Linked DNA regions of Canis lupus familiaris. The protein of the gene in region 1 purifies or fractionates together with the protein of each later gene. This does not show direct contact. Links are inferred from orthologs where the notes say so. Each region holds a gene or a part of one and is shown in the gene's direction. Other genes may lie near its edges.

The links. The genes of interacting proteins can lie anywhere in the genome.
Region 2: the proteins of ASXL2 (region 1) and OGT purify together in Homo sapiens (affinity purification with mass spectrometry; 3 studies listed by BioGRID and IntAct, with this or other methods). This does not show direct contact. The link is inferred for Canis lupus familiaris from reciprocal best matches to the Homo sapiens genes ASXL2 and OGT.

Annotation. Positions count from the first base shown.
Region 1 is NC_049238.1:20,105,850-20,111,761, reverse strand, and holds the start of ASXL2 (putative Polycomb group protein ASXL2), read left to right. Parts: upstream 1-1,896; 5' UTR 1,897-2,083; coding exon 2,084-2,140; intron 2,141-5,912.
Region 2 is NC_049260.1:56,015,039-56,020,737, forward strand, and holds the start of OGT (UDP-N-acetylglucosamine--peptide N-acetylglucosaminyltransferase 110 kDa subunit), read left to right. Parts: upstream 1-2,363; coding exon 2,364-2,400; intron 2,401-5,205; coding exon 5,206-5,386; intron 5,387-5,699. UniProt on the Homo sapiens protein: Catalyzes the transfer of a single N-acetylglucosamine from UDP-GlcNAc to a serine or threonine residue in cytoplasmic and nuclear proteins resulting in their modification with a beta-linked N-acetylglucosamine (O-GlcNAc).

The DNA of each region.
Region 1 (5,912 bases):
TCAATGACTGAAGGAGAAATATAATGAAGTATCCAGATGGCCTCTCAAACTCCCTATTAATACTTTTTTTGTGTAATAGCCCTTTTGAAAAATTGAGGAAAAGCTATAAATCCTCTTTAATTTTTAAAAAAATTAAAGTAGGCTCCACGACAATGCGGGGCTGGAACTCGTTATACCCAGACATCAAGAATCACATACTCCACCGACTGAGCCAGCCAGGAGCGTCCTGAATCCTTTTCTCAAAAATGCATAATTATACACAAAATACTGTTCATAATTTTAGGGGTCCATGAAATTCTGAAACCAAACCCTGGACTCCAAGTTAAATATTGCTCTCTCCTGTTTTTACTCCCAAGAGGCAGCTTAACTCTCAGTCCTATTTTAGAATACAGTATGGGGCTAAGTTTACTAAACTAGATCTCAAGTAACTTCTTGAAGCAGATTATTTTGGAGAACAGGAGGGGTTACTATATTTTTTTACTTTTTAAAAAAATATTTTATTTATTTATTCATGAGAGACAGAGAGAGAGGCAGAGGAGGGAGAAGCAGGCTCCATGCACCGGGAGCCCGACGTGGGATTCGATCCCGGGTCTCCAGGATCACGCCCTGGACCAAAGGCAGGTGCCAAACCGCTAAGCCACTCAGGGATCCACATTTTTTTTTTTACTTTTCAAAGTATAAAAACACGACAGAAGATGCCACATTCTGGATCAAGAAGCTGTGATGGACACTACCAACAATAATTTTTTTTTTTAAAGATTTTATTTTTTATTTTAGAGAGAGAGATAGCAAGAGAGACGAGGAACAGGGAGGAGATGAAGTAGGCTCCCCACTGAGCAGGGAACCTGACCTGGGGCTGGATCCCTGGATCTTGGGATCACGTCCTGAGCTGTCCCTTAACCTGAGCTACCCGGGCGCCCCTGATTTCTGACCACAGACGTAGCTGAATCTTCAGCAAATATTTACTGGATGCCTCACCAAGATAAGACAGACACCATTTGGGTCCTTTATGAGCCTCTCCACTTGAAAAAGCTTAGTGCCCTTTATTTATTTTTTTAATAATAAATTTATTTTTTATTGGTGTTCAATTTGCCAACATACAGAATAACACCCAGTGCTCATCCCGTCAAGTGCCCCCCTCAGTGCCGGCCACCCAGTCACCCCCCCTCCTCCCCCCTAGTGGCCTTTAATGAAAAAAAAAAAAAAAGGTTGGGGGGGTAATCATCTAAGTTTGAGAGGCATCGTGGGGGCTCAAAACAGGGCTCTGGGCTGGCGATCTGATTCCCGGTTTCCCCACGTCGTGGACTGTGTCCTTGGCGAGTCACTTGTCTCTCATCTATGGAAATCGGTTAACCTGCATATAAGAACTGCTGCAAATCGTCAAAGATGACCTTTGTAAAACTGAGCACGGAGAAACGAAAAAACACAAGTACGACGCGTACTGATAAAGCGACAGCCAGGAGGGCCGCACCTTGAGCTCTTGCACGGCTCAATCCCCACCGCGGCGCCCAGCACGAGGTCAGGCGCCGCTCAATAAGCCTTCCGGGAGGGACCCACTTCCGCTTCCGCAGGCCGATTTTCGCTGGAGGCGTGAGCGCAGGACGCCCGACGCACGGCAGCGTCGGACCTCCCCCGCCCCCCGCCGCGCATGCTCCGAAGGCTAGGCGGAGAGCGGAAGGGCGGGGGAGTGACGAGACGCCGCGGACCGCCGGCTCGTTCGTCCCGCAGCCCCGCGCGGGAGGCGGGGGCGCGCGCACGTTCGCGCGGCTGGCTGCGTACAGTAGTGACGGCCGCGCGGGAGCGGTCACGTGACCATAGCGGCTGCCTGTACAGTAAGGACCCAATATGGCAGCGGCGGTAGCAGTGGCAACGGCAGCAGGAGGACCGGCCGCCCCATAGACCCCCGCCCCCCCCCTCCCGCGCACCACCCCCGCCGCTTCCTCTGCTTGGGTGCTCCTCCGGCCTGACTTCCCCTTTCTCCCACCTTTCCCGGCACCGCGGGAAAAGCATCGCAGGGCAGAGCAGGCAGGGAGGGCGGCCGGAGCCCGGACACGGGAGCCTCCCAGTCAGTTCAAGACCCGACATGAGGGAAAAGGGCCGTAGGAAGAAGGGCAGGACCTGGGCGGAGGCCGCCAAGACGGTAAGGGGGAGGGAGCGAAGGGGAAGCCCGGGAGAATTTCGTTCCCTCGCCGCCTGCCGGTCGCAGGGGAAGGGAGGTCATTGGCCCAGCGACCCGGCTGAAGGGGGCACAAAACCGCGCGGAGAGGGCGGCGGTTAGTGTCGGGGTGGTGATCCCGGTGGGCATGGAGGCGCCCAGCGGAAGACGGTCGCCGCGGGGCTGTGGCTTCTCCCCGCGTCTGCGACGAGTCCCCTTGGTGTTTTGAAGCTGGCCGTTCGGGGTCATGTCGCTCTCACCTCCACTCTGTGGTAGCTCCCGCCCCGGCATGGGGAAGTCTGTTGTGCTTGCACAGTAACCGGTTCTTCTCCCTTGTGCGGCTGAAGAGCCCCCCATTGGATGCAGATAGGAGAAGGCTTGTGCGTGCACTCAGCCCCGGAAAGAAGAGAGGAGCGCTGGATCTTGGTAGAATTTACCCGCTATAGCAGACATGCCGCCTGACCCCGGGTCCCCTGCTCGTCTGGGCTCCCGGATCCAACGCGAGGTCACGAGGCTCTTGTTTTTGTTTTGCTGTTGAAGCTGAAAGTGCAGGAGGTGTTTAGAAACGAAGTAACAGGTGGGACTTGTAGAATTTTTTTTTTTTTTTTCTGTTTCCGTAGAGATCTACTCTGAACAAGGCAGCAATGCATGGTGGGACGTGTAGTTTACCCGGCCTTGACTTTTTTTTTTTTTTTTTTCCGTAGCTAGTGATGGGTTCACGAAGTTGTAATTAGCGGGTAAAACCTTCCTCCTCCCCGGCCCCCGCCTTAATTTTTTTATAACGAAGTTTAGAGGTGGGTTTTACGTGGTCCTTGAGACTTCCAATGTGTTGCATGAAAAAAATGAAGAGCGTGTACGTATGTAGAAATGAAACATTAGGAGATGCAGGAGAAAAGTAATAGGACATAAAACCGCATTTTCGTGTTGGAAAGTGAGAAAGTGTGGAGACGTTATCTTTAATGGTGAATCATGTCAGTAATACTTGTATAATGTGGAGAACCTTTCTAAATGAACCTTTATTATAAGATGTACGGCTTATTTTTTTTTTAATGAGTTTTTTTCTGATTATGAAAGTAATAAATGTTAACTGTGGGAAAATTTGGAGAATTATAGGAGCGTATAAAGAAGAAAATAAGAAATCACGCATCTCACCTCTCAGTTTTATCTGTTAAAATGTTTTGTTATATTACCACTTAGTCTTTTTTATTTCCCCACATTTGGATCCTGTGTTTATTCAATCTTGTGCATTTTTGTAAACCTTGTGCATTTGTTTTGTAAATTTGTTGTGATAGGGGATTGATGAGTCTTAAGCTTGTATTTCTGTTTTAGTTGGAAATGTGAAAAAGTTAGTGAATAAATAAAAGCACATTTTATTTATTGAGTGTTTTCACTTAACAACAATCTAATCTCTCTTCATAATTGTGACTGTGCTGATAGTTTCCTTCTAAAAGACTAAACTCTAGAAATAATTTTTTTGGTTTTGAGGAAATTGCTCCTTCACAGAAGGCTGTTACACTTTCTTCTACTTGATGAATACCTCAAGACTTTTGCTTTTTATTAAAAAAATGACAAATTTTATAGTTAGGCAGACCACAATCCCAATTATGTTAATTACGTCTCTACAATCTTGAGTACTTTTGAATTGTGATCTCTTTGAATAAAATTCTCTAATTATTAGGCGATTGTGACAAGTAGGTAAAATTTGCATCTGGTGTTTAGATTTTCCTATAATAGATTAACATATTTGTTCATTTATAATAAACATTTCCTGCCTAGCTAGCTATGTGAAAAATAGTATCTAGAAGAGGGAGAGGCTAGTTTAATAAGAAGAGGACTGAGTTCTTGAAAGGATCAGTATATTAGTGGGTTGGTATTTTTATTTGGTTCTTGCAAATGTAAGGCCTCAATCTAAGTAAAAATGAATTTTAGGATTGTGACACTAAAACTTTTTTTTTTCTAGTAGCCAAAATGTAGAAAACATCCTGCTCTTTTTGGTTTGTTTTATCATCTATATAAAGTGAAGATTTAAACTAAACCTCTGTATTCAAAAGATTTCTATTTGTAGGAAGAACTATTTAGAAGTAAATGTAGAGGGACTAGATACAAGTAAATCTTTAATATTTCAGAATAATGAGATCAGAAAATCAGAAAATTAATATTAATTAAATTAATATTAATATTCTGAAATATTAATATTTCAGAATAATGAGATCAGAAAATTAACTTTGACCTAAATTAAGAAGTGTTGCATATAATTATAACATCAAGAAGACTAGAAGTATGTCTTAAACTTTTTTCATAGGCATTAAGGTCAAATATTCTAAGGACAGAGTTTCAGCAAGGAAAGAATAAAATTATTTACGAAAACAAGCAATATCTGCTGCTTATTTCATTGTGTTCTTGGCACCTGCATTGTAGAGCTGTCCTGTTTTAGGGAGCACTATTAAAATCGGATTGTAAAAAAATAAAAAAATAAAAATAAATAAATAAAATCGGATTGTATTTCTGACCAATAGCATAGCAACAGGTAAATAAACAAGATTATATATGTATATGTACCTGTTTGATGTGGAGGGTATGTGTGTGGATGTGTGAGAGTTACATGAATTGATATAAGATTATTATGGACAATCTGAAATATGAAGATAATATTCATAATTATTATATGATAGTAAAATTATGCTAAAAGGCTGATTAAATATAGAGTATATAGACTGATTCCAATAACTAAGAACACCAGAGAAAGGGAGAATGGAGTTGAGATTCCACAGAACTTGAATGCTCATTACACTGGACCATCTCCCTACTGATCTTATATAATTGCCCTGTATTAATACACTAGTTATAAAAAGCATTTTTCAAGTATTTGTTAACAGTGTCACATGTTTTAAATTTTAGGGGTGGCAGTGATGGTGATGCAATGATTTGGAATTAGATCTGTAGTATAGTGTTTGGTGCAATTTGAATAGAAAAATTTGTAGTAAGCCAGAGAACTTAAAAACCATTACACTGATTTTAGAACTGTTTGGAAAGTTATGCTCATTCTTTAAACAAAACAAAGCAAAAAACCCCATCAGAACCCTTATATCATCTAAATATTTAATGACATCCTTGAGAAATTTAGATGTTCTTGCAAAGCAGATATTTTGAAATAGTACAAACTTGTTGACCCTGTTTTCTCCTTTGACTTTACCTTGTTAACACCACAGCTAGGGAGGCATTAAAAGGGAAAAGTGTCCTAAAAGGGTAAGTTTCTTGTGATTGTAGGTGGAAGGGACAGAAGCAGACCTTAGAGATTGTATGCTAGAGGTACTTTTGAATATCTTGGGAATAAAGTGAGGGTGAGAAGTATGGGTGTTAGAGGTGAGGAGCACAGCAGTCCTGTAAATCTTTAGCATATGGTTTGTAGACTGAAGAAAAAGTTTTTTGGTGGTGGCGGGAGTGCAGGGGGATACTATATCTATATAGATTTCTCTAAATGATTAATACTGTTTTGAATGTACATAGATTTTTATTTTTGTCATTTACCTAAAGTCATTTACCTTTGGGGAATAAGATGGAAAGAAGATAGAAAATTTCTGTTAAAGTAGTAATCAGAGGCTAATTACTTTTGTGTAGGAAGTATAGATAATGGAAGTAATTAAAAGTATAATGGGGGCATCTGGGTGGCTCAGTTTGTTAAAGCATCTGACTCTTGATTTCGGCTCAGGATATGATCTCAGGGTCTATCAAGCCACGAGATTAAGAGTCTTTTTTT
Region 2 (5,699 bases), on another chromosome or scaffold:
GGGAGAGAGAAAAAATAAATAACTAGAAATTGGTGTGCAAGAGAATACACCAAAGCATCCTCTCCAATGCCCCTGGTCGGGCCTCCAGCCCAAAGTGACTAGTTCCCTCTCCAGATATTTACAGACCTTAATGCATTTTCTCACCTAAATAATACTCTTCTGTTTTATGCTCCGGTGGCTTTTTGTGTCTACCTGACTGGGCTTCGAATTCCTTGGGGGCAAAGATCTCGTCTCCTTGGGGGCAAAGATCTCGTCTCGTTGGTTTTTGTGCCCCCCACCGTGCCTTGCACAAAGAGAGGGGCTAGTAAAAGTAACTTGCCAAAGAAGGTGTGTTTGTCCAATGAGTAAGTCCTACAAACTAAACCTTTCAGGTGCTATTCCTGGAAGGCACCTGGAGGGGGTTCTTGAGACTTCAGCTGGGGTTTTTCCCGATTGAACCCCTGTGAGCCTCACCGTCCAGCCTTTCACAGCAGCAAAATATACCATAATATCCTCTGACACTTCTCTCAGGATAAGGAAAATTAGACCACAAGTATGGATATGCTAAATAGGCTGCCTGACAGGGAACATGATCTGACACTGAACAACAGAGTTTTACTTAATTAGCTAGCACCCACTAATCAGGAAGGCCTCAACATCTGCCAGTGGAATCTGAGAAATCTGTTCTAAAAGTTGAAAAGCTGAATTTATTCGCCACAGATGGGGCATCTGCAAGGAGAAGGGAGCAAAAAGGTGTTCCCAGTTAAATCAATTTGAGAGAAGAGGTTGGTACCCAATTTCTAGAGAGAGTTTGTGTAGGGAACGTTGTCTTTTTCCCTGCATGTGACTATTAATCATCGGATGTGATGGAAGAAATTTTCATGAATTTTCTCTGCATTCACAAATGTAATGAACAGCTTGTGAACTGTTTTGAAGAAACTGAAGTAGAACTCGAGGGCTTAGGTGGGTTTTTAGATTTTTTAATTTATTTATCATAGTCAAATGACTGGGTAGTAGAAACGTTTTGAAGAAATTCACTGACCTGTTTTCTGAGATCAAGGATAACTTTTTTTTTTTTTAATAAAAACGCTCTGAGAGATCCAACTTGTTCCCTCCATGGGCTTATAATAATTTCTTGCTGATGTGGCAAGTTACTTTAAATCCTTTCTGCAAGGAGATATATATTAATACCAGTGTTACAAAATATCTGAACAATGGGCTTGAAACTATGAGAATTTAAGAGTTGATTTGTTCAGGGAAGTGGAGGCAATTCAGACTCAATCTGGATGTGTGGTTTTAGGTAGTTAGCAAGTGAATTCAACTGTCATTGTTGAACTGCTTTGAGCTAAATGGAATCATTGATGGTTAGTATATACAAAGCTATCTGGTGGCAGTAAAGTTAAGACTCAGGAGAGAGTCAAGGATTTTGACGAATACGAATCATCTTTAAAATTTTTTTATGGTTGCCTTTGGAATACAAACTCTCAGCATGTCCCTGAGTTATGAAGCATTTGCCCTAATGCTGTGGGAGGAACTACACTGAACACCCAGATGATTTTGAAATTTCGGACTATATGGGTGCGATCTGAGATGTCTGGGTTCACTTGGCCCTGTGAAAGTATCAGTGTTTTTCATCAAAAGTGCTTAAAACCAGTGTCTGGAATCAGAATTAAGACTCGTCAAATTATAACCTTCTCTGCCATCATTTTGAACAACAGCTCAGTCTTTGAAATATAAACCTTTAAATGCACTTGCTCAGATTGATCCCTCGACCCTGTAACTATCAATTTTTACCTGAATAAAGTTGATGAAATATTTTAGACGCCTCTGGCACTGATATGAAAAATCTACATTACCGGCTAGGCAACAGACTATAACAACTCCGACAAAAATATTCCCGTCGTATAGACGGAGTTATTTAACCCTCCGCTTCGCTATTGAAAAACTTGGCCGCTCCTGCCCCAGCCAGTGTCCTAAGCGCCAGTAGGGTTGACAGAGTTGCTCGCATGCGCTCTCGACACAATCGTGTTTGTCGCAATGGGCCCTGGGCGGAAGGTTACACGAGAGCTAGCGACTTTGATTATAGTCATTTTGTCGGTAGCGCTGGTTACCGCGCTACTTCCGCGCTGGTACTTGATTGTAACAGAAAGTAGTTCCGGCCCGTGTTGTTTCGGCCGAGGAGCCGTCGCCGCCATTTCAAGACCGTGAGAGGTAGATGGCCAACCAGAGTTCCTAAGGTTCGAAACCTGTGACTGCTGCCGCCTCTTAGGCCTGCCAAAACACTGGTACGGCTGCCGCCCTCTTCCTACTACCTCCAGAAACATTCTTGCCAGTAGTGGCGGCAGCGGGTCAATTACCCTCCTCTCGTTCTCAAGAAGCTCCAGATGGCGTCTTCCGTGGGCAACGTGGCCGACAGCACAGGTACCGGTGTCCGTTCTACCTTGGCAGATGCCCTGTTGGGGTCTCGCGCCGTTCTCTCATCACTCCCTTCCTTCCCCCGGCCATCCTCATTACATCAGTGGCATTGCTGAGCTTTCCGTCGTCTACCGGCATCTGTTTTTGGGTTTTCCTCTGTCGTCCGCTCCTTGTACATTTCCTCATTCTTGCTTCCTTTCTGCTTCCATTTTTTTCTTGTTTAATCCCATCAATTTTCTAGCTTCCTACTCTTTCGGGACGCTTCTATCACACGTGTGCTCTTAGAATGTCTCGGAATGGACTGCATTGGAATCTCTGCCCTTTCACTCTCCTTCGCAGCAGTTTTCTCCCCTCATTCAGGCCACCGTCCCCACCTCTCTGCCCTCCCGACCCCCGTCCAGCCCTTTCCCCTTAGCCGGATTTGGTTCTTCTCTGTCAGTCTCGGGCGGGGGTGCCATTCCGGTGTAATCATGTCCTCACTTTGCATCACCCGAGGACGAGCAAAAGCTCTTTGGTGTGCTGTAAGTAATCTCGAGAAGAGGGGATACTGAGCAACACCCCGCTAAGCATCGCCTTTTTGGTGTTCCTTCTGTCGAGCGGCCCCGGTTTAGATTGGAAATTTCCAGGGGTTCCTTTTGCCATCGCCCGATTCTACCCGCTGCCCCCAGCCTGGATTTCCCATCCTGTCTTTCCTCCCCTCCCGCGGGGAACCACACCCTTCCCTTCGCGAGGTTGCCAGCCCTGCGGTCCACTTCCTACCCTTTGGGGAGAAACCATGCTGGAGCTTAGCTGGTGCCTGGGCATTGACCACCCTGCCCGCCGAATGCCTGCTTTGTGTTACTTTCTCCCTGTATTCCTCCGCCGCCGCCTCTGGGTCTTCCATCCCCATTCTTTAGCTTAGTATCTCTTTATTCATAGGGTGTGTATTTTTTTAAGTTTTCATCCCTGCTTGAAGAGTTTGTAAAGCAACTGGAGTGTAGCTGCACAAGTGCAAGGCGGTTGCCCTTTTAGACAATTCAATCGAGAGCATTCTCTACTAAAAATAAGAGAAACAAATTATAGGAGTGTCCTTCAGCTGCCTTTCCATATTGAGGCTATTTGGGGCGGAAGGAGCGGGGGGGAACTGGGCTGCGGTTCTTAGGTTTCTCACGAGGTTATTTTGTTGTTTCTCAGTTGAGACATATCAAGGGTTTTAGTATTTGTGGACATTGTGCAGTAAGTAGTAGGCGAATCTTCAGTTGCATCTTATGTGAGATTGTGGGTAGTGGGATTTATAATTTGTGTTCTCATTTCTGCCAGGGATCCTTAAAGATGGAAGATTTTGTACTAGCTGGTCCTTTTCTGTGTGTATTTTGTTTGAGGACGTTGTCATTTCAGGTGTTGATATTATCAAATAAGGGGCTTTGAAAAGTTGACAAAGTTATGTGTTAAAACGAGGAGCTAGGAAGTTAAGAGATTTGTCTAAAATGTGATTAATTCATTAGTTTCTATTTGAGAAACTTTACCCGGATTTGGATGGGAGTCTGCTCTTGTGTAGTGGTCAGCTTTACATTCTGTCAGGAAATTTACTTTGCTTTCCTGAGTATACAGATCACTTGCCAGCCCTAAGGGTTGGGGAGCAAGGCTCAAATTTGACTTGTCACTGTGACCTTGGTAGAATTTAAATAATTTGTACATGGTTTCCTATTCCAAACTTCTAATGAAAGTGCTATGGTCAAATTCCTAGTAATATATCACTGTTTAAGTGTTTACAGTGGAAACTTAGGCAGTCTGTTGTTTTACTCGCAGTCTCTGGGCTTTAGCTATACGCTTTCTCATTATGAATTTGAATTAAGTCACTTACACAGAGCAAAGTGTTTTTCATTTGTTGTTCATTCTGTCCCACTTTATCGAATGGTTTTATATTTTAGCATTTTCCCATTCTTAAAAATCATTGCAGTTGTAGGTAACTGGTTTATATAGGGTTGTTTGCAATGTCTTAATCCTTTTAGTGTCAGAGCTTTTTGGAAAATGCTCGTCTTAAACCAGCGTGGGTGGAATTTAGCTAATTTGGTCTCCACCATGAATTTGGGATAATAGAGGAGCAGTATAATCTTGGGTCTTTATTTAAAACGTTTGATGATCCCTCAAGTATTTTGGTTCTTGAGAGACTAATTTATCTTATCAGCTGTTTTAAAAATAGCACCTTGACTTTTAGAGTTTCCCCCCCCTCTTATGCTGGCTTCTAGTATATCCCTTAATTTAAAAAATTAAATTGAGAAATCTACAAATAATAGGTGTAATTTTAAGAGTTAAAAGGCATCTGGTGCTCTCTCAGGTTAAAAGAGAGATTGTTACCAATATCCCACCCCCCCCCCACAAATCCAACCTGAAACATGTGACAGAGTATTATGTTTCCAGTAGGATATTCTGACATTAAGTCTTTGTGACCTTGCAAATCACGTTTTATATTTTGTTTCTGTGTGTTAACTAAGGTATAGGGAATAATGTTTAGTGATCTTCAGATACTCCTTCTGACTTATATATAATTTAAAAGTACAAAGTATTTTTGTTCATAAAATGTAATCTTATTCGGAAGTGTTTTTATCTAGTCTGGGAAAGAAAAGTTAATGGTGTATTCTAAAAATGCCAATTCTGCACCTGATGTTAACTTGGAGGTATAAATAACGTGCAGAACACTCTAGTGCTTTACATAGTTTCAAGCGTTTTCATCTTTAAGTTTAATATACCATATTTTTACATTTTTTTGTTGGCATTTCTAACTTTTTGTTTTCCCCCCTCCTTCCCTCAAATGTTTTGATGATTCTCCAGAACCAACGAAACGTATGCTTTCCTTCCAAGGGTTAGCTGAGTTGGCACATCGAGAATATCAGGCAGGAGATTTTGAGGCAGCAGAGAGACACTGCATGCAGCTCTGGAGACAAGAGCCAGACAATACTGGTGTGCTTTTATTACTTTCATCTATACACTTCCAGTGTCGAAGGCTGGACAGGTAGGAGATGTGGGGGTACCTGCTGGTGATTGCTGCCTCTGGGTGCTGAGCTTAAAAAATGATACTTAAATATTTGAACTTGAAATTTTTTGGTACTAGGTTGCTAACTGAGCCACCAACGCACATCTGCTCTTTGCCCACTTGTGACATGCCCAGCTGCCAGTTTTTCTCCCCTTCTTTTGTGGTGATGGTTATATTATCAGTATGACAAGGGACCTTTTCTAGATTTTTCCACCTACATTTGCCTTCTTAACTCTGTTTAGGTAATAAATTATTCTTAGTATATATCTGAGCATCCAGTCTCACCTTTGTA